Arabidopsis thaliana: one gene and its partners. The protein of the gene in region 2 interacts with the protein of the main gene of each other region in a pairwise test. Each region holds a gene or a part of one and is shown on either strand. Other genes may lie near its edges. The genes, in order: AT5G62900, AT4G16444, AT3G59850 and YLMG2.

Region 1 (7,272 bases), on a different chromosome or scaffold from region 2:
ATTCTAAAAAACAAGCTTTGGTTCATGAGTAACTTGTCAAGAGGATTCACCATAGCAACAAAATAACTCTTAAACCTTCAATAATGTTTGACAAGGAATAAATGCAGACCAAACATATGGAATTAGAAAAGAGAACATAGCATTCATTATTGAAACTATCTAAATGTATTTGAATCATTTTCTGTACCACCTTTTATGTATTCACACATCACATTCTACATCATCACCACAGTGTTTCAGACTTAGAACCATAGATGACATAGAAAACAGAGCTTAAGTTCTCGAGTTCCAAAAGACAACATGGTTGAGAAAACCGCACCTCTCCTTTTAAAACTTGCAAAACATGCTAGACGAACGAGCCAACCGAATTGTTAGACCACCACCTTGAATACTAGTCTCAGCCTTGACCATATTCCGTTCATAGGGTTTCCTGCAGCCTGGACAACGCCCATCTCCATCGCAAATGGTCTTGTGGCAGAACAGACAGAGCCGAAATCCACAAGGACAGGGGAGGAAATTCGAATCCGTCAAGTCCAAGTCTTCGTAGCATATGGGACATGAAGACGGAATCGCCACAGAGCTAAAACGCTTGTCTAACTCCGGAAAACTAAGCTGCTTCGCCAAATTAGGTAACCCCTGTGGGCGAAGGTCATCATCTAGCCTCCAAGCTCTATTACTAGTCTGCTTCCTTGATGACACTCTCAAGCATTCCTGCTTTGGATCTTCAACACCCACAACATCTGATGCATCACTAATCGACGAATCACACACATTAGAAGCTGATTGTCCAACACTCACTTGCTCTTTCACAGACTCAAGAGGACGACTCTTTTTCTCAATCTCTTCCTCAGCCGCTAACGCATCAGCAACAGCTTCCCAATCATCCACACACCCATCATCATCATCGTCTACATTTTCCTCTTCTGTTATATTACCAGAGCAAAAGCCACTGCTGCTACTACTACTCCTGCTACTTCTCCCACTGAAGTTAGTGCTCGAATATGTACCACCAACAGAGCTATTTGAAGGTGACTCCATAAAACTCTCATGATGAAGAAGATTATTCCCACCATTGTTATCCTCTTCTCTACGCACCTTATCTGAACTCTCATGATGAGGCTTTTGACTACGATTAACACTCCTCTCCTCTTTAACTTCCTTATTGCTCACCGCAACTAATATCAAAATCAAAAACCCAAAATCAATACATAGACAACCAAATCTAACCAAACGAATCAGGCAGAATTGAAACATTAAAGGAGAGAAAGATGAAGTTTTAACCTTGAGAAAGCCATTGCTCACGACGGAGACCAAGCTTGTTCTGCTTCATCTTAGCCGACTTATTGTTCTGCAAAACGTAATGCAATAACAAAACCATTAAAAATCAAAACTTTGAATCAATTTCAGAGAAAGGAATGAGATTTATCAAAGAGGATAACGTTACCCTCTTCTTCTTTCCGGAATCTCTCGGAGCTGAAGTAGCAGAAGCGTTGGTGATCGAATCTGTAATCATGATTCCGCAGATGAATCCTGACGAGTGAAATTACACAGTGGGTGAAGAATTTGAAATCAAAAGATGAATATTCTCAAAAACCCTAATTCAGATTTGGTGGCTCGAGAGAGAGAGAGAGAGAGAGAGAAGAAACGTGAAGATTTTTTATTTTTATTTTTATGTTTTTTTTTCTATTTTTGTTGATTTAATAAAAATCAAAGAAAAAGAGAAGAAAGGTGAGAGAGATAATATATAAAGGGATAACGGAAACTCCTCTTCTCCGCTCAGACAATTTCGTTCGATGCTAAATGACTAAAGTACCCTCAACGTACGTGTGGGTTCTTCTGTAAGTCGGTGAGTGTGCACGTGTGAGGTAAACGATGTCGTATTTTTGAGTCTAACTATGGCAAAAGAGATATACTTTTACCTTTTTTTTTTTGTGTTCTGAAAAGATCTTTGATGATATTTTTTGGGAGTTTCCTTATATGCAATTTGCAAACTTGTAATCTTGTGAGTGAAAGCTGTGTAATGATTCTTTCTTCTTCTTCATACAAAGATATTTTTATGTAACCCAAAAAGAAAATACTATGGTTTTGTTGGTTTTTTGTTAGGTGCATATAGTTCTTTTATAACAATTTTTCTTCTTCGGAATTTATGGCATGTTAGTTATTATTGATATGTTAAGCTACATGAATAATTAAATAGAGTTGAATAATAAAAACATACAACAAACCAATACAGTTGAATAAAAAGGTTGCAAAAGCTAGTTTTAGTGAATAAAGGGAAATGTTTCAATGGTCAACAACAACAAGTACAATTTTATCAATCTTTTAAGTACGTAAAAAAAGTTGTAAAACTTGATCTATGACATAACTATTTATTGAAAACGTAAAAGAAAATCTAGAAATCTAGAAAATGAAAATAATCCTTTGGATCTTTCTTTCTTCAGTTATTATTATTAAAGTTAAAAAATGACAAAAGTTTCTTCTTCTTCAACCACAATCAAATGGGTCTTCTTCCTTTACAAATTTGATTGGGAAAAACAACAATACAAAGAGAAATGAAATGATAAAAAAAAGAGTCAAAAGTAAGAAAAAAAGATAGAAAAATATGGATTGAAGTGTTTTAGCTTGTAGATTCTGAGATGCTTTGAAGAGAAGGCTGCCAAGCTCTAACTTTATTGGTAGCTCCTCCTGTGTTCATCATTCCTCTCTGCTTTTCATGTATCCTTCTCTGTAAATCAAAACCAACTCTATTATTCTTTTGTAACACTCTATCGTTTCAATCAGAGAACTAAAACTGAAACATCTGATACAGAGCAATTGTAGTATGTGATAATAATACCTGAGTGTCTTTGTCAGAAGCAGATTCAGATCTTAGGGTTAGTGGGTTAATCTCTTCTTCTGCAACAGAAAACTCTCCATGAATCTTCTTCATCTTTCCAGATTTCTTGGCTCTTATTCCTTTCATCACCTCTATTAATAGAACACAAAAAAGAAAGACTGACTTAACATCAAAAAGTGAAGCAGAACAAATAAATTGATAAGAATCCTGAAAATTAAAGCTTTTAGTTCTGATTTGTAAATTTTATACACTTCGTATATGATGATTGTAATCAAACGTGAAGCAGAAGAAACAAATTGAAGAAAACCCTATAAGTTAGGGTTCTGTTCTTTCCTGAATTTAAAACTGAAACATGTTCTGTGTGAATTGTGATTAATATATTATATACCTTCGGAGGAGATGAGTCTATAAACATGACCGAGCAAGAGGTTATCAGAAGGACGAAGAAGCTTTATACGAGTGACGCGGAGAGAGCCACCGTGAGGTACGGCGGAAGAGAGGAGGAGAGCCACGTGGTGACCGGGATGGGACTTAATCACTTCGCTCGCGTTTACTGTACAGTAAAATCTAACCGATTTACCGTCTGGTTGTTGTATCACCGTCGTTGCCGCCTCCGCCGCTTGACAATTCCCCATTTGTTTCTCCTCTCACGGCGGAGCAAAGCAGGAGAGAGAGGAGTGAAAGAGTAAAGCGTAGGTGAGGGGTCTATACTGATTTAATAGTTTCTCTACTCATTATATATACTCATCATTTTATTTCTATACAATAACTATAAGTATAAGTTTTCATGTTATTATTTCATTTTGTCATCATCAACTATTTTTCGTTTCTATGGAAAAAAAAAAAGTGGTGTGGAAGAGGTTTTATTTATATATGTATCTCCATTATTCGATAAATGGTTTAACATTTAACAAACAAACAAGAAAGAAGAGATAGAATAATGATCGTAATTGCTTAAATGATTATTATGTTTTAGAGTGTCCGTACAGAGCCCCAAGTGTTTGCTTGGCTGGAATCTTTCACGAAAAGTAGATTCCAAGCAAAAATAATAGTTAAATCTTTAAGCCTTTGATACTACGAATCTATTTATTAACATTTAAATTCTTGTTCATGCTATATCATTTAGCTTAGGTTCAACCTCTGAAGAAATTCATAGTAAATCTCTACTTCAGAAATTAGTCACTATCTTTTTTAGATATACACATAACTTAATATGTGTAAATCAGTGTATATATACACCACCTATATATAAATCTCTAGGAAAAGTCTATAGTCTTCATACATCTAAAGTTAAAGTATCCACAAACTATTGGACCACAATTTAGATAATACTTTCATCCAATTTCCTACTTTATGTTCTGTGTTCATTTTTCTCCTAGTATAGTTGTATTGTTTTAAGTAAATACTACAACTAACAAATTATAGAATGTAGCAGCTGTTTATAATTTATAATATAAAAATGATCAAAAACACATTTGTAGTTATATAATTTAAACATTCAAATTTTCAATTCAATACGTAAAGATCAATAGTTGCAGAATAATAAACAAACAAATTTTTTTTTTGTCAACTAAATAAAAAGCAACTTTATAAATCATATTTTTCTTAAGCAATGATGAGCTTTTTGTGGAAATTAAAATAAGGAAAATGACAACCAAAAATGAAGTAAGAATAATATTCCCCTCGTGCAATCAACCTTATTCACATGCTTACTGTACACTTTATCTCGATCTCCTGAAAGCCTGTGTCGTATTAATCGTTAATTATTCAACAAACTTACTTAATTACGGAATTAAATCGATCTGCCTTACAAAACAAAGTAATCTTAACTTTTGCGTGTCCATTAATTTAGATGATAACATACAAAAGTTGCCTTATTAATGTCTCTCTATACTATTTTATTGATCAGAGAACAAAAACCTCACGCAAGAGTGAAAGGTCGCTCTATTTTATATGACCATTTTTCCCTTTTTTTTCTCTACACATATGACCAAATTAATAAGAAAAAACAACTAATTAATTGTAATTATCTATTGAAATTAAATGTTATATGTCAATTCTCGTTAAAGTTCAACCAATCAGGTTTCCTAAGCTTCTAAATCAAGACTTTGGAGTGAGAAACATATAAAAAGAAAAATTAAGCTAAAGATTTGTTTAGAAACTAATCAAAATCACAAAGTAGTGTTTCTGTTCCCTCGGATTTACAAAGACAAAAGCATTAGAGAGAGAGTAAACAACAATGCTCTTTAAGAAGATTCATCATTCTTGTAAATAAGACTATAGAATGTGATGAGATATTTAAAGTTTCCAAAGTTGTGAAAGGAACTGAACAAACGAACCACGACACAGAGGCCAAGTCAACAATGGCGAAACTCGAGTTTTCACCATTTTCTTTGTTTTCCAGTTATCTTTTTTGCTCTTCTCTTCCCTTTTAGACAGATGGGAAGTACTTGTTGAGATTGAAAGGTAGAGAGTAGAATTCTTCACTTCTTGTGTCACCTTTGAAAGATCTAAACTTGTCCCACCAATGCTTCCCTCTGTCTTTCCTTATCGAAGAGTCTTTCTTGTGCAGTGTGTTGTCCAAGAAGAAGGCGACGCTTCCAGCAACAAAAGGCTCTGAGGAGAACGGGACATTTACCATATCGTTGAACTGTCAAATATGTAAGAGAATAAGATTGTTTCATTAGTTCAGGCCATGCTAAACTCGAATCTTTGCTATGGAGTTTTAGGGACCTTAATAGATCATTCTACCATAAACCTATTTCAATGGAAAGAGAAGCAAAAATAACAGTGACTTGGTTCTACATACCCAACGAGCCCCAGTGTGGACCGGACCATATCCTTTGATTGCGGTGTACTCATTGAAGTATTGAGGGATGGACAAGCCCAGGAAGACAGAGAAACCTAAGATGAACTTGGTCCTGAAGCTGTTTAAGTTGCAGAATTGAAGGAAACTCAAACCTCCAGCTCCCACGTATGCGAAGAAGAGACAGTATAAAGCAGCAATGATGGGCGCAGGAATTGAAGCAAACACAGCTCCAAATTTTCCTGCATTAACAGGATGGATCTCATCAGTACAGATAAAATTTCAAACAAAAGTAATTCCTTTTATTTGTTAAAAACAGAATAGAACAAAACTAACCGAGAATAGAGAAGAATATCATGAAGCCTGCAGCTATCTGGACAACCCTTCGACTACCAACTCGTGTCAAGGCCAATAGTCCGGCATTTTCTCTGCACAAAAGAGAGAAAAATCAACTTTCATACCAAAATATCCAGAGAAAGTAATCAAATCAGAACATGTAAATCTCAGAGATGCTTACACAGAGACAGAGGAACCAGCACCAGTACCAAACAATCCTGATATCAGAATCGCAACTCCCTGATTCACAAAACAAAACATAATCACCTCAGAATTCTTTCAATATCGATTCAGCAACATTATAACTTCAAGTATAGCTGAGTTACCTGCCAGCCAATACCGCGGCTGAGAATAGAAGGTGGCAACATCGTTGCACTTGCGTATCTTGACACCGCGACAAAAGCACCGGTTGACTTTAAAGATCAGCCAGACACAGAATAAACAAGAAACCAAAATGAATAAACAGAACAACAGAGCATAATCATTATATTTTGAAAGATTAAAATGTGAAGAAGATAACCACAGACCTCAACTAGAGCAACAAAAGAAGCCATCATCATTGCAAAAGCTTCTCCAGCATCAAACGATGGGGCACCCCACTGGAAAGGCCATGGAACTCTTATCCTAAGTACAAAGAAACTAATGTTAACAACGAATCCAATGAGATCACATTTATCTTCTGATACTCTATTCGTTCATGTTCTTTTGTTCTGTTTAAACTGGAAATTTTTAGTGGAAATGGTATTTTGGGAGCTACATATTTTGAGCTTTGTTGTAACCACTTACCATGGGGCAGCACCTATGATTCCAGCACGATCTGTCCGGCAACTTGTTTGAGTAGTTGGTGCAGCACCATTGTAGGCCCCACCAACTGTAAGAAGATGAGCATAGATCCACACAATCACCACCGCGAATATCACAGCAAATCGGTCAAACACATTTTTCCCTGATTTGATCACATGAGGCAGGTACTGTAACAGGAAACATGAACACATGAAATCAGGTAAGTTAAAAAAAAAAAAAAGATTTTGGGAGTTAGACAGGATTAATCTGTAAGTAAGTTAAAAAGATTACCTGTGAAACGAATACTAGAATAAGAAGCTCAGGCAGTCCAATCTCTATGCATTTAGCAACCTAAAATGTAAAAAGGATATCAACAACTAAAAGAAATAAGAGTTTCTGGTCTGCTCGTAAGTGCTCATATAGAGTAGACTTACCCCCGGGAAACCAAACTCATACAGCCCAAAACCAACGAGACCCACCAGTGGAACAGCTGAAATAGGACTTAAGAACC
Region 2 (7,634 bases):
ACTTTTCTCTAATTTGACCTGAGATCTCAAAATAACAAAGCCAAACCCCAAAAATCCCACATCCAATTCACTAATTTTGGCAAACAAAATGTATGTAAAAAGAGAAACACAAACTAAAACTCACCTGATCACCAGAGAAAAAGGCCCAAGCAAGAGGCTTACTAAACAAAACCTTTCCTTTCATCGTACCCACCACGCAACGAACTGATTGCAACAAAGAATAAACCGCAGCTATCCCATTAGCCACCACCAAGAACCTGCATCAATCAATCCCAACAATAACAACAAAAAAGTTACAAACTTTGCAATCTATCTCAAGTCAAAGTACTAAATCCGAAATGGGTTTATGATAAGCTTACACAACCGCCTTCATGTCCGTGTACTTGGCCGTCTTCTTGATAGTGAAGATAAGCTTGACCTCAGTGTCTGTCACAACTAGAATAAGCGCGAGGAGAGCGAAGACACTGATGGAGCACCGTAAGAGCAGCTCCGTTAACCTCATTCTTCGATCTATTAACTTCATCTTGCTTCTGTATCCTCCAGGACAGATTTCGGCCCCCAAAATAAACTCACTTGTACTCTTAAAAATCCGATTTTGGACAAGACAAGAAGACAGGTTCCGTAGAGAGACTAAAGAGAAATAGTGTCCACACTCGGCTTAAGGCTTTAAATAGAGAGTTCCATGCTTTTACTTCACATCGCTTGGGTCCTTAGGCTTTTATTGAAAAATATCACCAAAATTGAAACTGTGTTAACGAATAAGTTTGCTACTAGTTTTGTGTAAATTAAGGCTGGACAAATTAGTTTCTAGATTCAACTAGTTACTAAAAGACCAACATATGAAGTGAAGTGTTATTAGTTATTGTTATCATTTTTACTATTATTACCACCGTCTTCATTTTTCACTTTTTACTATTTGAAGGAAAAAACAATAGATGAATTCACTGAATAGTTCATAATGAAAATACTTTTTTTTTTTCGTTTCTTAAAAACTTATGGTTTTTTTCGTTTTTAGTCTTTTAGAGGAGAAAATTGGATATTTGAAACTTTTCTAGGAATTCAACTTTCTCTTAAGTAAAAGTGTAAAACGGATCACATAATTTAGATATCCTACAAATACGGATACTTATTTCTTACATGAAATTTATAGTAAACCAATTATATCTTCACAATGATCTCATTTTGTCGTGACTTCTTGTTTTAGAGTAAACTTTTAATATGCTATTGAATTAGGGGTGATAGAGAGACACAGAAACATAGTCCCTAAATCTGCCAAGTGGTAGAAAAGTTCTTGTAGACGTTACTACGTATATTATTATGAGATGCATTGAATTGAAATGTGCATGGGTTCTGATCACAAACCCAAAACACAACATTTTTCTAACATCCCCCCTCCCTTAAAGACGAAAGTGAGATATCACAATGACCTTTAGGATTAATTAAATTACAATGCTCCATATTTGTCTTTTAATGTTCTAGGAAAATGGAGAGAAGAAGAAGAAGAAGAAGAGAAGATTGTTATCTATCCCGAGGAGATTATTAAATTATTAAGATGGGACTTTGGATGCCCACATACACAACTATTTAATGAACCTTCTTCTTATTTATTGCACTTCCCATCTCCCAATTAGCCCCTCTAACCAAACCCTTTTCTTTGGTTCTGTCTTATTAACTCTTACTAATAGGCTTAACCAAATCCAATCAAGTTCTTTGATTTAGAAAGACAAGTGTAGATGATGTGACACGTGCACGTTCCTTTCAAACCAAACAAGATACTATGATTTAAATTGTTTTCCTTAATTAAGTAATGTGGTGGTTGGAAGTGGATATTATAATGCCCTCGAATTAATTGCTAAAAAGATTCTCCCATTAAACTTTAGTGCCTTCACCAAGCTACCCACTTTTAATAATAGTAAGTATTTTTATTTCTCTCTTCCATTTTCGGTGATATAATGCTACATCTTAATGAACCACATGCATTGGCATCGTGTTGAATAAGTACACGCGTCTTTAGAATCTGATTTTACAAAGTCGGTGTTACAAGATAAAAATTGACAACACGTAGAGGAATAGAGACAATGTGTTTGTTATGGTGTATATATACACATTGGGTAAATATTGGGGCTGCTTCTACGGTAACAACCTGCTCAACTCTCAAAAACGAACTACTTGTTATTGGTAAAATCCAACAAACAACCAGAGAAAAAGAGTCATATAAATATACATTGTTAAGGAAGATTAGGAACAAAAAGAGAAGCACAATTTCTGCCACAAGTGTCTCCTAAAAGGCTACAACTTTGAACTCAAAAACCATCCAATCTTCACTCTTTTCAGGGATGCGATTTAGAACTCCACGAACCTACACACATATTTGCTCACTCTGTTTGAGAGTATGAGCCACGGTATGATCCCGACCTGCATTTTTACCCAACCAACACTCTCAATCAAGAACAAGCCCAAATAAATGGATTGAGAAGAAGGAACTTACCATTACATGGCCTGTCATGTGACCTCCTGTTCCCCAAGATAACAAAGTCCCTGTGAAACACACCACATTCATTTTTTTCCTATGTGTTATATACCATAAGCGAGCTTTAACCTGGTAAAAGTAAACTACTCACCAAACGGTTGAACAAGTTGCTTAGCGATAATGGCAATTGGAGTCCTCCAGAAGCACAATACCAAGATTAGGTATATCACAACCTAGAAACAAAGTTCTTAGCACATCTCGATTAAGGAGTTTTAGACGGAAAAAAAGAAGAAGCTTGAGCACACAAACTAAGCTACCTTCGAAGCAAGCAGACCCTTCCCATACATATCGTATGAAAGCTTGATTTCTTTGTGATGCTGCTCCAGATCTAAAATTTCAAAATGAGAATTAACAAATACACACACACACCAATACTACACCATGATGATGCAGTGCTTTAGTAGGAATATCTGCTACCAGATAGTATTCATGTTTAAAGCTAACTAACTGTTGCATCATATTTCTGAATTTCATGAACTCTACACTCACAAAGCAATCAATCATATTTCTGAATTTCATGATCTCTACACTCACTAAGCAATCAATCATATTTCTGAATTTCATGAACTCTACGCTCACTAAGCAATCAATGTAGAACTAATAATGTATGCATACTCACATTGTGCAAGTTCTTTCTCTTTAGTAGCTGCTGACCTCCTAAGTTTCGCTGCTTGCGCAAATGTGGCTGGCCTGCAAGTAAACAATAGATAAATCTCTAATCAACAACACTCATATATATATTTTTCAACAACTGCACCTTCCTTAACTCAAATCACTAGAACCAAAACAAAATGTGACAACAAAATGGCTTACTGAGACAATGCACTAGCCTCTCTCAAAAGCTGCTTAATTTCGGTTCGCAGCTCTGATTCCCTCGTGTTCTTCGACCCTTTCTGAAGAAATTCCATAATTCAAAACGATGATTCATGTGGATATGAAAAAAAGCCAAAAAGTATTATCTTTTTTACCTTCTTCAATTGGTCAAGCCACTTGGATAGCAATTGGAAGACAACGACGACGACGAAGGTCAGAGGAGCAGCCAAAAAGCCGCGATCTTCTATAAGCTTCTCTCCTTCCATTAACCCTTTTGCTGATTACTGATTCTAACGTAATTCACCAATCTGCTCGAACAATTCATAACTCAGTACCATTCAGATCAACAAAATAAAAGCCTTAATTGAATCCATCATGTTCTGGATAAACATATCATCTAATCAATGGAGGAGGAAAAGATTCTAGTGCATATAGAATGAGATCGTCGTGAGTATGATCGGAACTTACAATCTCCGTCGTGGATTCACAGAAATTTGAAGCCTTCAAGCCGAGGTTAACGTCTGAAATTGAACGAACGATGGGAATTTAGAATTGGCCTGAATCTGTAAAAGAGGAGGGTTCTGATTTTGATAAAACAAAAGTTTCTACTCGTTTCGTGAAATAAATAAAACTCAAGCCCTTATGTGTAAACAACAATAACTAAACCCTTTTTCAACAGGCTCTATTGGGCTTCGTTGAAATAAAGAAACGGCCCATTAAATTAAAACTAAACCGCTTGTTTATTTTCTTTAAAATTTCATTAAGCTTGGGTATACATGAGTACATGTGAAAAGAAACAACAACTAGGCTACAAGTTTCAGTCAACAGTAAAAGTATCCAAATTTAGAATGAATAGGATAAAAATAGATATAAATAGTAGAGATGTAGTAAAACTACAAAATGGAGGGTAAGAAATTAGAAATGTGAAAATTTAACAAACATAATGTATTCTTTTTACGTGGAGTGGTTGTAATGGTTTTACCAGAAATGGCACGCGTTGTCTCTAATCTTTCTCAACTAATCTAAAGACACTATATGTTTTGTCTCATCCGATCCCACTTAATTATGTTAATCATCTATCTAATTGGGGTTATCACCAAATCAGAGCATTATCGATAACATCGCAGATACCGAAGCTGAAAAAAGGAAGAAAAACAATGTAAGTCCAAATCCTAAACGTCGTAGCATCTTCAGCTTTCGTGTATGCATGCCATTATATTCCAATTACTTGACGACAAACTTTTGCTCCCACCACTTTTGATGTGCCTTTCAAACTTTGTATCCCCATTGTCCACTTCCTCTTTCTTTCAACCCGCTCCGTTTTGTAGCTATACTGTCTCACTTTTTTTCGTTGTTAGAGGTGTAACAATAAATTTACCAATTTAATCTAATATATCATTTCATTTGTAATGATATCAACATTCTTATCTAATATCAACAATCAAGAGTGATACATTATAAAGGCATTTGACATTTGTATATATTGGTGAATATATGTGAGATAAGTTTTGTACCTTGTGGACCAATTAATGTGGGGAGTTTGCAGAATCCGACTATGAAGTGAAACTCAAAATGCACACATGTGGTTTAGAATTGTATCAGAAAATTTTACATTATATGGGTGTTAAGAATTATATGTACTGCAATTATTATATATATCAAACACAACTAATATCTATTATATAAGATTATCACGATAGGAAATATATAAGTTTGCATCGGCTTTGCATTGAACACATATATTAATTGATACGTATATAGTATTCTACTTTTTTATAAATTAATCTTTTCGATCCCTAAATTAGTAAAAATATGATAATGTACATGCATGGATGTTTTCATTATGGGAAGGGAGCGTAGAGTAGCATTTTGATCGAGAGAAAACGAGGAGATCGAGAGAGAATGTCTTGTGTAAAAATGAGTGGTCTTTTTCACAATTATTTATCAATCAAAACACATCTCATACATATATGTTGATATCATTATTCCCTAGTCTATTGAACTCCATTTGTCTTTTTATCAATAGATAGGCCCACTTTTTATATACTTTTTCCTCCTTGCCAAATCATAAGAAGTTAAAACTTAAAAGTGGATCAACTAATTTATAGAAACCATTAACAACTTTTGACACTCTTCTTTAATGTGTGTTTCATTTTTAATTGAATGCCAATAATATAACTTTAAATTCCACTGAGAAGATTTGACGTAGAGACAAAGAAGTGGCTCCAATTCACCATCTCCCAAGCCACCAAAATCTCTCCTAAACCCTTTTGTCACTCCCTTTTCTCATATTCACTTTTTTTCCAAGGAATATTTAAAACCTCATGCAAGTTTTCTTGAATATAACAACATACGAATATGATCTTTGATTAGATTACTCTTTTATATATTATGGTTAGGCATGTCCTTGCAAGATTTTTGTATTTAACATATTGAAAATTTATCATTGAATTACAACTCTGTTATGCATACAATCAAATCAAACGTTTAAGAAGACCATCCCTTATATATATTTATATACACCCTATATTCTCGGGATGTAATAAAGTTTCCATTTCAAATAAAAAGAGCCCTTAAAGGGAGGTAAGTGGGGGGCATGAAAAAAGGGTTTATATATCTCAATAATCATCCAAACAAACCAATCCATGTGCTTCCCTTCAAACATTCTTCTTGTCATTTTCCTCCCAACCATTTTCTACTTTGGCCAACTTTTTTTCTTTTGCTTCTTAAAAATAAAAATAAAAATATGCAAATTTCCACTCACACATTATACATTCTCTTTTTACAATCCTTAGATTGTCACTTTTGCCTTCTTCCTCTTGTTCTCTTACCACTTTACTCCTGATTCTCTTCCTTTCGGAATTTCATCGAACTACTCAACAACCCTATATACTTTTATTGTTTTTAAAGTATTCTCATGCAGATTAAATAATAAGAAATAATATACACCTTTTTCCTCCTTATATAAATAGGCTCAACACACGTAACATGGCCCCAAACCCTAGCAAGACTCTCTCTAAGACTCATATCATTACGTCATGAGTTCAATAGCAAGAGACCGAAAGGAACAAATGGTGATCCATTCTTCAATCGTCTTGCTTCAAGAAAGATTCAGACAACTTCAGAGAGCAAGAGAGTTAAGAGCTGAACGAGAGCTCCTAAACCCTAAACCTAACCACCAAGACAACATCTTGCAATATTACAGCGAACCCACTAGTTTCGGTTTCTTTCAGTTTCTACCTATAAACTCTCAAACATCTTCGTCACAGCAGCTCCTATCCCTCTCCTTATGCTCACACTCCACCTCTGAATCCATTGAAAAGCCAAGCTTTTGTCATCAGTGGCCAAATAAAGATGACAAGAAGATGGGTGGGATTGATCGATACGACGATGTTGACACGTCTCTGCATCTCTAAAACTAAAATAATTGTTCCTCCATCTTTTTGAAGTTCTAATTAAATATGTATGTATATAGAGTTTGTTTTCGTCGGTATGCTCTTCTAAAGAGTCTTCTAGGTGGTGGTGATATATGTATGGTTAAAATGGCAATCATATATATTAATTATTTCGAAGTTAATGATTATGATATATTTTATATCACGATGATAAAGATCGATCTACTCATTGATTTATTGGTTATTCTTTTGTTGATGGTTAATTGGTTACTATATCATTCCTCAAGTCTTTGCTTATACGTATCCATGTAATGTTTAGCTTTTTATATATACGTAACTACTTCTACCTCAACTTCACCAACGAAGGCATGGTAAATAACTAAAGATGTCGGAGTGGTTAAGAAGACAGACTTGAAATTTGATTTCAGTTGGGCTCCGCTTGCGCATGTTGAAAACTCTGCTTTTGCAGCTTTGCTTCTTATTGTTTTTGACGATTTTTCTTAAAGATAGTAAATAATTGATCATACAAGTCGTGCCAAAAAATCGTCAATCAAAGTTCAAAACCTACTTGCATCGTATTTGATTCAGTACTCTTATATATGTGTCAGTAATAATTGAGATAGAGAAAGATAGAACTAAAATGTCGACACTCAATCATAGATAGATTTTTAAGAGAATAAAACTCGAGTACTATTCAATACTATATCGTGCATGTTGTTAGATCTGCTATTTTCGATCGTTTGGAGCTTGATTGACTTAAATGGGCTCATTCGGGTCTGTTATGAGAAAGCCCAACCAAGAAAGTTTATGGGTCAAAGAGAAAAGCCTCTAGACGAAAGAGAGGATCTCAGCTTCTGTTGAAATGAATATAACCTAGAAATTGATTTTGATCGGAA
Region 3 (8,268 bases), on a different chromosome or scaffold from region 2:
GATGAATCTGAAACTCCAAGATGCGTCTTTAGAAGTCTTTCATGTGGATGACTGACCGTGATGTGCGTCCCAAAACCCTGGAGTACCTACGACGAGTTGCCATACGCAGCATTATATGGCGTCACATGTATCATTTCCAAGCCAAGACCAACTCAAATCGGGCATTACAGATTAACGGAGTTTTCGATAGAGGGCCACCAAGACTCACTTTTGCTTTTGTTTAGACCCTAAACTCTCTAATATTCAACAATGTGCTGCCACGATTCATTGTGGTACTTAATAAGAAATTCATCTTACACATGTCACTTATTTTTTTCAAAAATAATAAATTAGTTGAAATAAATTCGATTGAACATATGTTACTTTATTTTTTATATACTCATGTTCTTAGATTGCACGACTAATAACCAATGTAAATGTTCTTAGTATTAGCTAGATGAAATATCTCTCACCGTCTCCGTCCAATTATATCCTTAAATTTTGCTTTTATATATTGGATTTGTAACATTTCGATTTACTTAGACAACATTGTTTACACGTAATTCATTTATATAGCTGATAATACTATATTAGGCTTAGGCTATAGGCATTATGATGTACAATTTATCGATTTGATTCGTTTTATTAAACACAATTCCCATTCATTTTAAATATCCACCTACGTTCATAATCATTGGTTAGTCCGCATTGACTAATGCATAACAAATAGCATCATTAGAAATTGATTTTGCGAAAATACTAGACCATAATTTCACGTATTCCAACCCTCCAGGAATAAAGCCGTAATATATATGAAAATACGACGTTACTTACAATTACACTACTAACAAAAAGAAGACAAATATTTTTCTTTTCTGGTCATAGACAACTGTTGGGCCGTTGAAATCCTGCCTCACTACCTCCAGCGTGACTACAATCTGTTGTTGCTGGTTTATTCCGGTACGTCAACTTCACATCTTGAATTCGAATTCCCGTGCACGGCTTCTTAGAGCTACAGTCTAATTTCACTCCAACTTCCGTCGCCGATGTCCCGTGTATATCGAAGAACATTACATCGCTGATTTTTATCCCAGAAACCTATCATTCATATCAATCATATATAAACCAATTAATATCTAAATTAAGAATAGCTTTTTATGTGACGTTTAATATGTTTTGAGAAAAATGTGGACCTGATTAGGGCAATTTTCGTTGCCAGGGCAGTAGTTTTGGTCAATGACGATTGGGTTTTGTACGTTGTTCATAACACAATGCTGGAAACGGATATTCTTAGCAAATCCATTACTGGGCCTGGCCCATGACTTTATTCTCACCCCATTCTCTGTTCCTGTAAACGTCGCCGTTTTCACTGTTATGTTTTGTACACCTACCTCCACACTTTCTTTTCCCAAGCTTCCAATGCTGTACCAAAATATAAAAATGATTGATGTGGATAAATAAAAGAAAATGATCACTAGAAAGTGAACCAAAAACCAGTTACTGTTACAGTATAATAAAATTAAAATAATTGACATTTTATAACCAAAAAAAAAGAACACAACAAATAAATTGATAAACTGAACTAATCTAGTGCCACTGTGTGACATTGACAAATATATTTTTCTAACTATTAGAAATACATGAAACTGAAAATGAATGAATTGGAACAAATTAACAAAACATTGTTCTCTCTTTGTAGTTGTGTTGATTACTAATTCATAAACGGATAAACCGTGTCAACCCTATATAAACTAGTGTCGGCTTTAACTTGTTTACTATAATTCATATAAACCAAAAGTGAAAGAAAAAAAACCTTATAAAAACTAAAAATAATGGAAAGATAAAAATGAAGTTACAAGTAATTAAATTAATAATTCAATACCTGATCCCATGGCCAGGGCCACAAGCGACATTCTCGATCCAGAGGCCGTTAGTGCCGGGACCGATGGAGACACAATCATCGCCGGTGGAGATTTTGGAGTTGAGGATGGAGACGGTAGATGATGACTGCACGTGGATCCCATCAGTGTTTGGACTGTTTCCGTCTGCAGAAACTTTGACTCCGTCGAGCTTTACGTTACTGCAGCCGTTAATCGCGACGTGAAACATCTGACTGTTAAGTGACGTCAGCCCGGAGATCACCACGTTGCGTGAGCTCTGAAACCCTATGCTCTGTTTGCAATTTGTTGCTCACGTGTCAATTTCATTTATCCGAAAACAATAGGAAGTATATAATAAAGATTATCACTAAATCAATGACTCTATGATTGGTACATGTGAATGAGGATTCTACGTTAATTAACGTGAGAAGTCAACGACACATAATATTTATATGAATGTAACTCTATGTTAGCAGAAAAATGGAGAAAAAATTGCGGAAAATGCATCATTTGGATCGTGCTAGCGGAATTTGCGGAAGCGCATCGATAAAACGGCGATAATTCATTTTCAAAATATACCTACTAAGAAAATGCTTTTAAATGATTTCAACAATATAAGTTTAACAATAAGACAAAATTGATGGACTTTTATACATGTAACAATTTTTTTACCATTTTCCCTACTTATTGATTAGAATTTCTATGGCAACAATATTTTGTAGGTTGGCATAATTTAAAATTATAAATGCATAATTCACAAATAACATCAAGACGTTAAAATGGTAAGTTCTTACCGTGGCGCCACTCGGGCAATTCTTGCCGGACTTTTTGCAAGACCATAGAGAAGCTCCCTGGGCGTCAAGAACTCCGCCGTAGACAGAGATGCCGTCGAGATGCTGGAACAAAATCCAATAGTTTTCTTTACCGATGACTCGATAATCCGATGGAGCCACAAGTGTACCTTGGATACGGAACGTGACGGACTTGCGTTTACACTTGGAACCGTCAAAAATAATGCTTCTTAACAAAAACCGTCCCTTAGGTACCAAAATGGTGACCGGTTTGACCGATGCACATGCTTTGGCCCACAGGACGGTAAAGGCCTTGGTCGAGTCGGTTTTGCCGTCGGGTTTGGCTCCGTAAGAGAGGATATTGTAGGTTTGAGCTGAGGAAGATGAGACCGAGAGGAGAAAGAGGAGAACTATGAGAAGTGAAGAATGCATTGCTTTGAAAGTGAGAGATAGAGGGAGAAGTTGAAAAGTGGTGATGGGTGTGTGGGATTTGAAACGGTTTAGTGTAAGGTATATATAGTATTTGCGTATTTGTGAAATGGATTGTTTTTTGTTGATTAACATTTTTCTCTTGTTATTTTCTATATTATCATATCAACGAAACCTTAGATCTGAAGAATAAAATTTGATATGTACAGTAGTATATTTTCTTAAATAGTTTATTCGAGTGTTTTGTCAAATTTCAAAATATTGCAAGTGGTAGATTTGAGTTTTAGAAGTTTGTGTCTATTGTGGGTTTATATCGTTTATCATGAACTCTATATGCTGAAAAATCAGATTGTTTATTTATAGATTTACTGTGACTAAATGATCGTTTAAATTGTTTGTATCATATTACATGAATTAATCTCTATAAATATTTCATATAGTAATATTATCTAATTCATGTAAGTGTATACAAAATAGTTTTGTCTGTTTTTTTTTTTTTTAAATCCTCAAAAAAAAAGCAAAACCAAACATTCATATTTTCTGAATCAAAACAAAAATCAACGCTAACTCGTAAGCATTCGGATACAATCAACTCATGAAAATTTACGCATTGAAATTTCTTAGGATTAGAACTCGAATGTGTTTCGACATAAAATCATCTATGTTGTATTCAAATATATGATAACTGAAAAAGCAAGTGGAATGGTCAGGGGCAGTGCATGTTGATGGTAGGGAGCATAAGATCAATGCATGTGACGACTACAATTGGTAGTAACCGATTTAGCTTTAATTATCGATAAAAACGTTACACGATCCTAATAATTAAAAGCAAGGCAAGGAATTTACGGATCCATGCATATATATTTAATAAAGTAAGCAATTAAAGGAGAAATAATGTACGGGTCATACGGAACCAAACATGAGTGGGAAACGTGACAAGTGGAGGATAAAACGGAGAAGAAATTGACCAATAATATCGTAAGTAAATATTTTGATAGGATGATAATCATATTCACAATCACATGCATGGCCAACAATTCAGAAAAATGTGATGTTTGTTAAACACAACGCATTTATTGCCGCATGCCGTGTTAATAGGATCACGAAATGTAATATAAATATCGAATGAAAGTAGTGTATGCTGAAACTAAACCATAAGAAGAAGGATATCCTTGTAATGTTCCATCGTCTTTAGCGTTCAGAAAATAACTCTTAGGGTAAATTTAGTTGGCTAAAACAATCGGTGGCCTAAAGTTAGGTAGAGAATAGAGACCTCGATCTTAAGTTGATTTTAGTAGGCTAAAAATGATCGGTGGCTTAAGGATAGAGGGAGAGACTAGAAAGACCTACATTGTAGAAGATAGAAAAAAAAGAAATTTTCACAGAAGTGGCTGAAAAAAAAATTGTTCTCATGATTTGGTAAAGTGAGATGTGGTTTTCACCGTTTGTCTTTTGAATGGTTTTTGGACCAAAATATTTTTAATGGGATCAACCAAACCTCACACCAGTTGGTTTTGGTTTAGTTTCTATGGTTCAGTTTTGAAAAAAAAGAAAAAAAAACTGAAATGAAGAAAGCGAAGAAGAAGAAAAAGAGGAAGAGAAAGAGATGGAGAGATTTGAAAGAGAAGTAGAGAGAAGTTCAAACTTCATTATCTACTTCTTCATATTTCGACATCTCTCCATTGAACTCTAAAATTGAGGAAGAAATTTCTTGTTTTCAGAGATGAACAAAATGCAAAAAAAAATCACAGATTCAAACAATTTAGCTTTTTAAACTAAAGATACTCTATATTTACAAGATTTATATATAAATAGTAATTAAAACGTATAAAAAAATGAGATTTTGAGAAAACTGCTAAAGATGACCGCAAAATTAGGTTTGCAGAAAAGGATACACAGGTTAAAAATGACTGGAAAATTATAATTATACCCTTCATTAAATTTCTTCTGTGTACGTATATTCAATTTACAGTGTACGTACACAAAATTATTTAGTCGAATGTATATGGTACAATTTCTAATAACTAAAGCTATTTTATTACGTATTCTTATATCTCAATAATCTCCATACATACATAATAATTAAATAGAAATAGATGGTGAAATAATATTTGTTCCTCATATTGAAAGTTATGTACGTATATGTGTAATAATGTACGTATATTTTTGTTGATAAATTAATGTATGTACATGTGTAATAATATACGTACATCTTTGTTTGTAAATTAAATTACTAAGAAAATTTTATTGATACAATATTAAACCAATATTGACAGTGGGCGAGATATATTCTAAGACGTTCATACGATGTGATTTTGAAACATTCTGAATTCTTGACGACTTGAGCAGTCAAATGTCATAGACAAGTATCATCAACGCATATCATCACCAATCTTGTAGGATATGACCTAGGTTGCTTATAGCAAAAAAATTGTTTGATTGCGAGATAAGACATTGTTTGTTGTATGACTTTTCTGTTCTTAAAAACACTCTCCAATCTATATTGTACGTACATTGGTACAAACCATGTTGACAAATACTTCTTGGAGTCACAACTGGTGTACGGTCACCCGGGTGAGAAATGTTATCTCCGCCAGGTACACACTGACTTGTCTACGTACACTCTGCCAACAGAAGACTGAATTCCCTTGGATGTTGAACAGTCAGCTGTGTGAGAATGACGTTCTCCTCAACATTCCCTATTCCATATTCTTCTACAATTTCATCGTTCCACTTGTTGTAATCATAATCTTCGCCACTACTTTCACTACCATCAATAGTAGGATCGATGGTACTTCCCCCATAGATCCATCGTCACCCTGATAATCATCATACCCATCACCATCTTCGTTGTCCTCTCATCTTCATCCTCATCTGTTTTATCGTCTTCAATGTCGTCTTGCTAATCTACGGTCTCATTATTTTCATCAACATTAAAACACTATCACACACACAGTCACTTTCAGCATCGTCACCATGAGTCCTAGAGACATTATTTCCGAGTGTATTGACGGTTGTAATGAAAGAGACAAACAAGTTGAGAGAAGGATACCCACCACGAATAAAAAAAATCGTATCCCACCCTCACTTGACTGTCAATGTAGACAGGAGGGCGTTTAGTATCTACATAACTAACATCACTCCCGGTATCCAGTAACTAATCATGGGATTGATCTCTATGGACTTCAAACTGAAAGTCTCGCTTAGTGTACATACAAATTCCGTGTACGTCATGTTTTCCTTAACACGTACACAACGACCAAACATGTCTTCCTCTGGTTCAAATTTCCATTTTTCTTCTTTGCATCTCCACTCACCGACCATAGTAAATACGAGATTATCCATTACCCAACTGTATCATAAATTCAGGAGAAACCCAATAAATGCAACTGAAAATATGATTATATCGACAAAAACAAATAGAATTTCGTTATACACACTTATAAACATAAATATCTATACATTTACCATTTTCAACCAACAAAATTAGAAATAAAAAAATTCTGGATTTTTTTATAAAAAACAAAATTGATTTCGAACACAATGAAGATCATAGTGTATTATAACAAAACAAATCTTTAAAACTTCATTACTTACACGATAATGCTTGTCTTGGCCCCAAATTTCGTAAATAAACAAGATCAACACATCTTCAACATCAATGTACGTTCGCAATTAATGTTTGTTTATGGGTTCATCTTTAACTCAACAATTATTATCAATAATTTTATAATATTATAACATGTAATGATGATTTTGCATTAATTGTGACAAGAGTCACGTTTAAACTTTTTGAGCCATTAAATGTTGATGTCATTTAGTTTTTAAAGGAAAAAATCTCCCTTCTAGCTGTACAGCCGCACTTCTCAAAGTGAAACAAAAATATCTCCAACTAAACCGGAACAGTGTACCTAACTAAACCGTACATTCAATAGTTTCTCAACTGTAGCAGCAAGGGTAAAATGGTCAAATTTCAGCTGAAAAGACAAAACGTGAAAACCACATTTGACTTAGCCAATCCCTGAAAATAAAACATGGTCAAAGGGTGTGGCCTGCAAATTACCCTAAAAAGAAACTAATATTTAGGATAGTTTTTTTAGTCAAATACTTAATCAGAAACTTTACTATAAAATTTACATTACGATATGAAAACAAATGAGCAAATGATAGGATACAATTGCTTTTTCTAAAACCAAATTGGATTTGATATGTATAATCAACAAAAGTATTGACCAAAATTTAGGCAACTGTTATTTGGTAGTTAAAAACTTAAAGTATACCCTAGTCTATATGTTTCGTTATTATTGTTTGTATTAAAAGACCTAGGAATATCTTCGTTTAGCTTCAATTAGAATGCGTTTCTTACGGCCAAAGAAATAAACCAAACAGGCGCGGCCCATAAGATGATTAATCTCCACCGTCCAACTAACACATCTCAAGTATTCGTTTCTCACAGTTGCGCACAGACCACATCTACTACAGACTGGTTTACAATTTTATTGTCAAAATTAGTCTTAATACGAGTAATTTAGATTTTTTTTTTTTAATACTAGACGAGTTAACAGTGATAGAGAAGCCAGACAATGTAACGAAACTTATTAGCCACAAACCGTATTAAAAATGATCGAGAGATTCCCCTATAAAGCAAATAAAAAAATGAAAGACCAAAGAATAGGTTGTGCATGTGTAAACGACGATTCCTAATTACAATGGAACTTGTCTTTCTCCGAAGAGGAAGATGAACAAAACACTAAGAAGACAAAGAAGAGTTTTTTGAAGTGGGAAACACTGAATCACTCAATCCAGGTAGAAGAGGGTAACAATCTTCCGGAGATTTCTAGCTTCTTGACATGTCTCCATGAGAAGCTTACTATCATGAAACGCAAAGCAAATGATTTGTTGCACTTGTGATATGATATCCATGTTACATAGCCTGCAAAACCAATCACCATTTTACTTACTTGGAGATACGTCTCAGAAAATTGATTCTACAATGTTTCACTATATCTCATAAGCCATCTTTTCTCGGTTTTGCTACCGTGTATGGTAAAGAGTGGTGAGTGACAAACCTGCTGGCTTCTAATAACGGTAAATGGTCGTTGTGAGGCTTTTCTATCACGTTTTGTACCTGTTGCAGACATTACAAAGGAGACTCAGTTGAACTATAGCATAGCCAAGAATGGATGATA
Region 4 (7,548 bases), on a different chromosome or scaffold from region 2:
CATCTGGGAATATGTGTGAACCGACATAATACCTGAAGCAAGAAAACATGGGTCTTTCACTTGATCCAGAACAGGTAATTGACATATGATACTTCTACATTTCTACTTTATACTATAACTAAATAAACATAGCCTTGCTAAATAAATATATGACTCTTAAAAGAAATTTCATGTTATTTCCGTTAGAAATATGAAAAGAGGACCATACCAGAAGGCAAACGTCATTGCAGATAAAGACATTATAGTATAGACGAAGGGTCCAGCTATTGCATCTGCCAGCCTCTGTACAGGAGCTGCATTACCTTGTGCATCCTCAACCTTAAAATTCAGAAAAGAAAGGGTGTGATGAATTAAAGACGCACTACAGAGGAACTGAGGGTTCTGACATGATTTCATTCATACTTTCCCGTATGAAATTAGGTTCAGCTACAAACTTGTAAATGAGTTCTATTTGTAGGATTGTGACTCATTCATGATATTTCTATTTGTTGCTGTCTTTTCTTTTTCTGTTTTCGAGGAGGAAAGTCGGCTACAAATTACATAGATTACTGGCCACACACAATGTAACTTTCATTACATTTCATTGGCTCTAGATTCATAGACACTAACCATTCTGACAATTTTAGATATCGTTGAGTTGGAACCAGTAGAAGAAGCTTTGATCCGTAGAGGGCCATCCTGAAATAGGTAAAGTGAGATTCAGTTATTCAAAAAGATTCATGATCAGTGTATGTAAATCTAACTTAGTAACTGAGCACAGTTAGTTACATAAGTAGCCTTTTAAAAAAATAAACTTTTGTTTAGGTTGCGTATACTTACCCAGTTAATTGTTCCCGCTGAAACTGAGCAGCCTTCTTCTTTAAACACCGGAAGTGACTCTCCTGTCAGCATAGATTCATCTACAACACTTCTTCCAGCTAGGACACTCCCCTATGAAGAAAGTGATTAATTTAACATAATATCACTACTAGAATCAGAACTACTCATTAACCAGTCACAAGGATTATAACCAAGCTATCTTGAGCAAGAAAAAATAATATCCATTATCACGTGCAGAGAAGAATGTGCAATTAAACTGAATCTCAAAAAGAACTGAAAGATCCACATGTTTTTTTCTCAGCACTGATAAATTGAAATAGAACTCCTAAAATTGCAGAATGATGGTTACCAACCATTTAGATAGATTTTCATAACTCTTTTCGGAAACCCACACTATTATCTTTTGCTATGATCAGACAATTCAGCATGGATAAGCAACTAGGGAAATCGTAAGATGTCAGAAAGACAGAAACACTTACATCGACAGGAAATGTCTCACCAGGCAAAACCAATAGCGAGTCTCCAACTCGGATATCATCAACTGACACATTGATGCAAATTGAATCAGAGGAAAGTACAGAATCCACTGGGGTGTTATTGTCTGATGAAGTAATCACAAGTCTTGATTGAGTGGAGATGAGTGACTGCAAAAATACGTTTCAAGTCAAAAAAAAGGGAGGAAAAAGCCTACAAGTTAATCTTGGGAGGAGAATCAAGAAATGTCTAACATACCAATAGTTCATTCATATCGGTAGATGCTTGAAGCTTTGCTCTTTCTTCCAAAGAACGACCAAGGAGCACAAAGCCAAGCAGCATGACCTGCATACTAAATGACAAGAGCTATCAATCAGAAATTTACTATTGAAACTGTATTTTGCATGTAGTGGAAGTAATAATAAAAAGCTTTCATCCTCTTGTGGATCTGCTAGAGAAACTCACCGGTTCATCGAAGAAGGAAGCATCCCACTCCAGTTCTGGATTAACTAGTGAGATCTGCAAAATTCAGAATGCAGAAACTGCAGGTTTTCAGAATAGGATACTCACCAGTCAAATATAAATTACAGGGTACAAAAACTCACCAAACTGATGGAAAATGCAGCCATGGATCCCAATCCAACTAACGAGTTCATATTAGGTGATCTTTTCCCGAAAGCTTTTATGCCATCAAACAGCAATTCTACAATATACATCTATCTGTTTCAGTCATTTGTGTTTCCGAACAGCCTCAAATATCACTACCACCACTTTGTTATGAAAGTCGCAAAGAATAGTAGGAACCATCACTATCACTTAAGAAGTTTGAAAATTCAGAGTTTCTCTCTTATGACAACGACGACTCAATTAAGCTAACCATTATCCATAAGAAGAACTGATTCAACAAAGCTCACCTATATAATCAGAGTAGAACACTAGCACTTATCTAAGTCTAAACAATAGCCTAAGAACGACTACTTTGTCATCTCTCTCTTATGATACTAATTACTAAACTTATTATGCATTAGCTGGTAAGAATCATAGATTCGAACTAAAAGTTTAAACAAAAGCAAACCTCTTCCTGGTCCCAACAAAGCTCCAACGGCCAAACCACCTTTCACGTAAGAGTTGTGTAGCAAATCCCAAATCCCTCCTAGTAACATCAGGTGCAAGAGAAAGTCATAAACTACATCTCTTATCCAACAAATGACATCTAGCATCACAATTTTTTTTGCATTATAATCAATGTACCATGAGCAATGTGAATTCCCAAGGAATGAAGAATATGCGAAGTGTGAGACCCGCAACACAGAGCCACCAATGTCCACGCAAACGCCACACGGTTCCTGCTCTTAACAAGCAAGTCCTCTTTCTTACTTACCATCTCCTTCCACTTCTTCACATTCTCCGCCACTCCCATACCCGAGACTCTCCTCTTAGCCTCAAAACCACTCTCTGTCAATCTCTTAGCTAAACTCTCTGCCGTATCCGCCGTCACCTCAACCTCCGGTTTAAACTTCACAGCCGCGGTTTCAGTCAGCATGTTAACCACAGCAGACGCGACTCGATCATCAGACATCAAAACCGATTTAACTCGGGCGACGCAGCCACCACACATCATCCCACTCACATCGAGGAGAATAGGCGTGTCGCTCGTAATGGATTTCACAGATTCGATTGAAGATTCAGTAGATTCAAATGATTGAGTACTTATCTCGACCGAGTTTGATACTAAAAAAAAAGGTCGCGAACAGTGCCGCCGGATACGAGAACGGCGCAGTCTTGGAAAGCATCGGTTCACGAGGAACTTACTTGGACGAATATGAAGACTCGATGGCGGAGGAAGAGGAAATCGGAGAAGATTGCTCGCCATTTTCTCCGGCGAGACAGACGACGATAGTCACGCGATGTATACAAGTAAGAAACTAGTGGTGGACTGGTGTATGGTTCGTTAAAAAGAGTATCGCTAAACGTTGACACGTCGGATTTGGAATATATCCGAACATTAGCCATTTTTGTGGAATTTTTAAAAAGCCAGGCTGTCACCAGAAAAATCAGAGAGAGACATAAAACGCAAAGTTTTAATAGGTAAGACCTTCTAACTCAGCTAGAGGATTACAGCCCCCGGGACACAGCGATGCCACGTGTCATCTTCCTGAAATATTGTTTTTTGTTTGGAGGTAACTTTATCTTCTCAAGCTTTCTTCTTCTACAACACATCTAGAGCTTTGCAACAATGGAGGCGAGTGCGAATGAACCAGCTATGAAAAGCTTGAAATCCAATCCTTCAGGACCGATACCGAACTTTTTCGTATCGCTCTCTTCGGCATTTACGCAAACACCTCTTGTGCGTTCGAACAAACCCAATTTGCTTCTTCTACCACCAGTTGCAGACTCCGTCAAATTGATTCAAGACTTTCATCAGTCTCTGATTTCTGCTACTGAGAAATTTAAAGGATTCCTCCATTCGCTCGCCTCTAAGAACCCTCTCTTTCAGGAAGCGGTTCGCCTATCTTCCGAATTTCACATTTTGTGCGACGAGGTAACTTCTCTTAGCCTGCTTATGCTAAAGAATGTTATGGATTAAGTTAAGAAGATGATTGTGTGTTTCTCATGAACTTGCCTTGGCTCTGATTGTTACTGTAATGGGTGAATCTTTGTGGTTTCTATTTATACAAAATGGGTCATTCTTTAACAGCCAGTAGATTGTTGTCTAGATCATTTAGCATTTATTGGAAAACCTTCTCACATTGATAACCCTGAGTTATATATGTCCTCAAGTTGGGATCTTTTTTGGTTCTTTTCTTGTAAAGATGAAACTTGGCTTCTGGATAAGTCCGGTTATGATTTTGTGTGCCTTTGCTTCTGGTTTTGGGTTCTTTATGTCTTAAAGATGAAGATCATTTTGTTGCATTGCAGATTCGTTTGAGAAACACTACAAGGGTGAGGTTTGCGATGTCTAATCACGGATTTGCAGCGGTTCTGCCTGGAGATTCAGTTGCAGGATTGGTGGTTGCTAATGGTTTGATCAATTTCCTCAACATATATAACACCATCCTTGTCGTCCGTCTAGTACTCACCTGGTTCCCGAGTGCTCCTCCTGCCATTGTTAACCCCCTCAGGTAAAACGTTGCCTTCAAATGCCACAATGATTTTATATCTTATCCAGGTTTAAAAGTTTTCGATCAATCCATGAAAACAAAATCTAGATCATAGAAGTCCTATTCGTGATTGTTGAAGGTAGTCTTTTTACTTGATTTAGAGGAAATTTATTTTGGATAAACTCTGTCTACTACTTTTTTGTCCAACTCTTAAATGGATTAAAGATTGGTTAAACCCTGATTGATCTGCCCAGGAACCCTAGTTGATTCCTATTTATGTGTATATGCGTTACCATTGTTTCAGCACTTTATGTGATCCATACTTGAACATTTTCCGGGGATTCATACCGCCTCTTGGAGGATTAGATTTGTCTCCCATTTTGGCGTTCCTTGTTCTCAACGCCTTCACCAGCTCGGCTATGGCACTTCCTTGCGAACTCCCGTCAGCTGATGGAGCCGTTTCTCCAGCTTCTAGTGAGACAAAGTGGGTGAGAAGGAGAAGGTTGAGCAGCCACAAAGACCACAGACCGAGCTCAGCTTCTATGACCTGAACCTGTCTAAAATATCTACTCTTTTCTGCGCTTCAAATGTAAAATCTACCTTTCGAGTAATTTTATTACTCTGTATCTTTGGATTTCTGAGTTTTGTATAAATTTTCTTTAGAAAATGAATAAAAGAGTTGTGTTCCTGACATACAGAAATATTGTAAAAATTTTGCAAGAGATGAGCTTTTCTTCTTCATTTGTGGCATCAAAACAACTTTCGCTCAGATTCTAACCAGAGGCTTTGCATATCAAGACGAAAACAAGAAGGATGAGGATGACAAGCAATCCACCAAACGAACCACATAGCCTGTGAATCCAGTAAGGATCAAACCTGGTCAAGCTCGGGTCACTGTACAAGGACAAGGCTATGGCTAAAATCAACAAGAGGAGAAGCAGAGAGAAGGAAAACATAAAGCTGAAGAGTTCTTCTTCCTCTTCTAGATCTTCCTCTGATAATCTGTCGATGTAGAGTGGTGAGAGCACGGCTAGTACCGACAAGCTTATGGCCAAAAGCTTCCTGGAAGTAGTAAACCTCCCCATCATCGGGCTGGATGATCCCGTTTCCATCAGAAAAATGCCAGTACAAAATATATAAAAACAACTGGTAACTTTCTTTACAATCCCCGGTTGGTGTTCATCTGAACTAAAATGGCTTGTTTCTTGGTAAGAATCTGAACACAAGTTGCAGGATTGTTTCAAAAAGCCGTTTAGATGGTATGGTTTAGCTATTTACTCAAAAAGAGAAGAGAGAAAGAAGATTCTTTCGTTTCTGGTGAACAGTTGTGACCACACACTGCTAAAAATATTCCAAGGGATCATATGCTTAAAACTTTTCTTCTCTTTCTATTAGTTCAATCTTTTTACAAAAAGCTGATTCTAAAAGACATTGTAACATTGTTCATATATCACTATCTTTTTTTCTTTACTATGAACCTGTACAACAGCTATAATTTGGTCTAACAATGAAGAAAGGTCATCAATTCAAAGCTATATATACAAACGCCAGTTGTCTACTCATCAGAAGAACTTGGCACCTACACTTGGGTAAAAGTTATCAAGGTGAGCATAGAGTGAAGTCAGTTTCAATCCGGTAATATGAACGTCTGATCTTGAAAGTTCTTCAAGATATGTATCCTCCACCTACAACGATAATACTGTCATTTAAGTACTTTTGACACAGATCACCCCAAGGTTCAATTCAACATAAACAAAAAAAGGCACCAGTGTAACCTGAATTACAGGTTTCTCTATAATATCATACCTGCGTCCATCCAAATAGCTTGAGTGATTGAAGTGACGAGCAACAACGCAAAATCCGTCTTAGGTCATCTTCTTTGAGTCTCCGACACCACGAGAGGTCCAAGAATTGTAACATCTTACAAACTTTGGCAAGCGAAAAAGCAGTCTCTGGACCAACCTGTTAAAAACAAAACTCCTCAAACACTTTCGAAAACCAACTTGAACATGAACAAGACTTTAGGTACTAAAAACACTCACATCTCGGACTTTGTTTAGGCAGAGTTCTCTAAGAGAACCTCCCGAGACTTCAAGAAACGCGGCAATACATTCGTCACTGTCAAAGTAATCCCATACATTGATGATATTCAGAACACTCAACGGATGTTATGTACAAAAAGAACAAATTGGGAGACTTGTACGAACCTAAATCTGTTACTTGTAAGTTTGAGTGATTTCAAATATCTGCAACCCTCAGTAATAAACTCTAATGACTTATCAGTCAATTTATCCAAGTCTGTGATGTCAAGAGCTTCTAGCTTCTTACAATATCTCCCAATATGCCACATGCATTCATCAGTCACCTCACTAGTTACCATTATAGAGAAAGCAAAAAAAACATTAGTTTTCAGCATAAAACTTGGTAATGAATTTGGTATATCAAGGCCTAAAAAGAGTAACTTACTTGCAATTAGCGAGAGATAGATCAGTGAGAATCGAACTACGGAACATAAAGAAACTTCTGACAACACCATCATTAACACTAACGAGTCCCGCAACCGAAAGATAGTTCAATTTCTCGAACTTATACAGGCTGCTACTAAACCCTTTATGCTTTTTAATCCCTTGACATCCACCAATACTAAGCCCTCTAAGAGTTGAACCAAACTTATCAGCAAGAATCCTCAATGCACGATAAGTGAGAAGAGAGCATTCAGTGAGGTTAATATACTGAAGCAGAGGAGATGATTTCGATATCAACAACAATGCATTGTCTGTTAAACAGAACGCTCCTTGAAGAGATAACGTAGTCAATGACGGGAATCCGTTAGGCGCGCGTTTAAAGAACTGGTTTATCGTATAATCCGTCATCGATCTTCCGCAAAGATCAAGAATCAACACCTGCAAAAGATTGAAACTTTCACAAACAAAGATTGCTACCAAAAGTACTTCTTCTATAACAAATGGATTCTAATATACCTTCAAGCTAACTCTATCACAGTCACAGAAGATCTTTACCAAGTCATCCTCCACTAATTGGACACAGTTCTTAGCGCAAATCTCACTCGGAGAATCTTCAATCAAAAGCTCCATAAGACGTGTATCGAATTCACCTAAACCACTAACAAGATACGAGAGCTTCTTCCTCAAGT

Evidence for each region.
Region 1: the proteins of AT4G16444 (region 2) and AT5G62900 interact in a protein complementation assay, tested with the Arabidopsis thaliana proteins (one large-scale study listed by BioGRID).
Region 3: the proteins of AT4G16444 (region 2) and AT3G59850 interact in a protein complementation assay, tested with the Arabidopsis thaliana proteins (one large-scale study listed by BioGRID).
Region 4: the proteins of AT4G16444 (region 2) and YLMG2 interact in a protein complementation assay, tested with the Arabidopsis thaliana proteins (one large-scale study listed by BioGRID).

The regions. Positions count from the first base shown.
Region 1 is NC_003076.8:25,245,071-25,252,342, reverse strand, and holds AT5G62900 (basic-leucine zipper transcription factor K), read right to left. Parts: upstream 3,654-7,272; 5' UTR 3,472-3,653; coding exon 3,225-3,471; intron 2,968-3,224; coding exon 2,837-2,967; intron 2,726-2,836; coding exon 2,618-2,725; 3' UTR 2,311-2,617; downstream 1-2,310. Other genes in the region: AT5G62910 (RING/U-box superfamily protein), read right to left, coding at 328-1,175, 1,282-1,348, 1,445-1,513; AT5G62890 (Xanthine/uracil permease family protein), read right to left, coding at 5,268-5,486, 5,646-5,884, 5,979-6,070, 6,160-6,218, 6,305-6,391, 6,506-6,602, 6,765-6,949, 7,053-7,112 and 1 more.
Region 2 is NC_003075.7:9,272,448-9,280,081, forward strand, and holds AT4G16444 (tail-anchored protein insertion receptor WRB-like protein), read right to left. Parts: upstream 4,001-7,634; 5' UTR 3,812-4,000; intron 3,652-3,811; 5' UTR 3,610-3,651; coding exon 3,499-3,609; intron 3,424-3,498; coding exon 3,344-3,423; intron 3,221-3,343; coding exon 3,150-3,220; intron 2,859-3,149; coding exon 2,788-2,858; intron 2,704-2,787; coding exon 2,622-2,703; intron 2,539-2,621; coding exon 2,489-2,538; intron 2,416-2,488; coding exon 2,344-2,415; 3' UTR 1,991-2,343; downstream 1-1,990. Other genes in the region: AT4G16442 (Uncharacterized protein family (UPF0497)), read right to left, coding at 125-257, 360-523; AT4G16447 (uncharacterized protein), read left to right, coding at 6,382-6,759.
Region 3 is NC_003074.8:22,108,485-22,116,752, forward strand, and holds AT3G59850 (Pectin lyase-like superfamily protein), read right to left. Parts: upstream 3,249-8,268; 5' UTR 3,215-3,248; coding exon 2,654-3,214; intron 2,152-2,653; coding exon 1,862-2,151; intron 1,402-1,861; coding exon 1,173-1,401; intron 1,078-1,172; coding exon 859-1,077; 3' UTR 619-858; downstream 1-618. Other genes in the region: AT3G59870 (uncharacterized protein), read right to left, coding at 7,877-8,012, 8,149-8,207.
Region 4 is NC_003076.8:7,238,747-7,246,294, reverse strand, and holds YLMG2 (YGGT family protein), read left to right. Parts: upstream 1-3,414; 5' UTR 3,415-3,529; coding exon 3,530-3,835; intron 3,836-4,212; coding exon 4,213-4,415; coding exon of another isoform or gene 4,416-4,419; intron 4,420-4,454; exon of another isoform or gene 4,455-4,698; coding exon 4,699-4,945; 3' UTR 4,946-5,094; downstream 5,095-7,548. Other genes in the region: PAA2 (uncharacterized protein), read right to left, coding at 1-32, 209-318, 610-678, 820-930, 1,299-1,463, 1,552-1,638, 1,759-1,812, 1,899-1,996 and 2 more; AT5G21910 (uncharacterized protein), read right to left, coding at 5,168-5,506; AT5G21900 (RNI-like superfamily protein), read right to left, coding at 5,957-6,079, 6,201-6,356, 6,437-6,512, 6,602-6,763, 6,861-7,297, 7,376-7,548. UniProt on the Arabidopsis thaliana protein: Not required for the biogenesis and accumulation of native cytochrome b6 in the thylakoid membrane. Not functionally involved in the pathway for covalent binding of the c-type heme to cytochrome b6.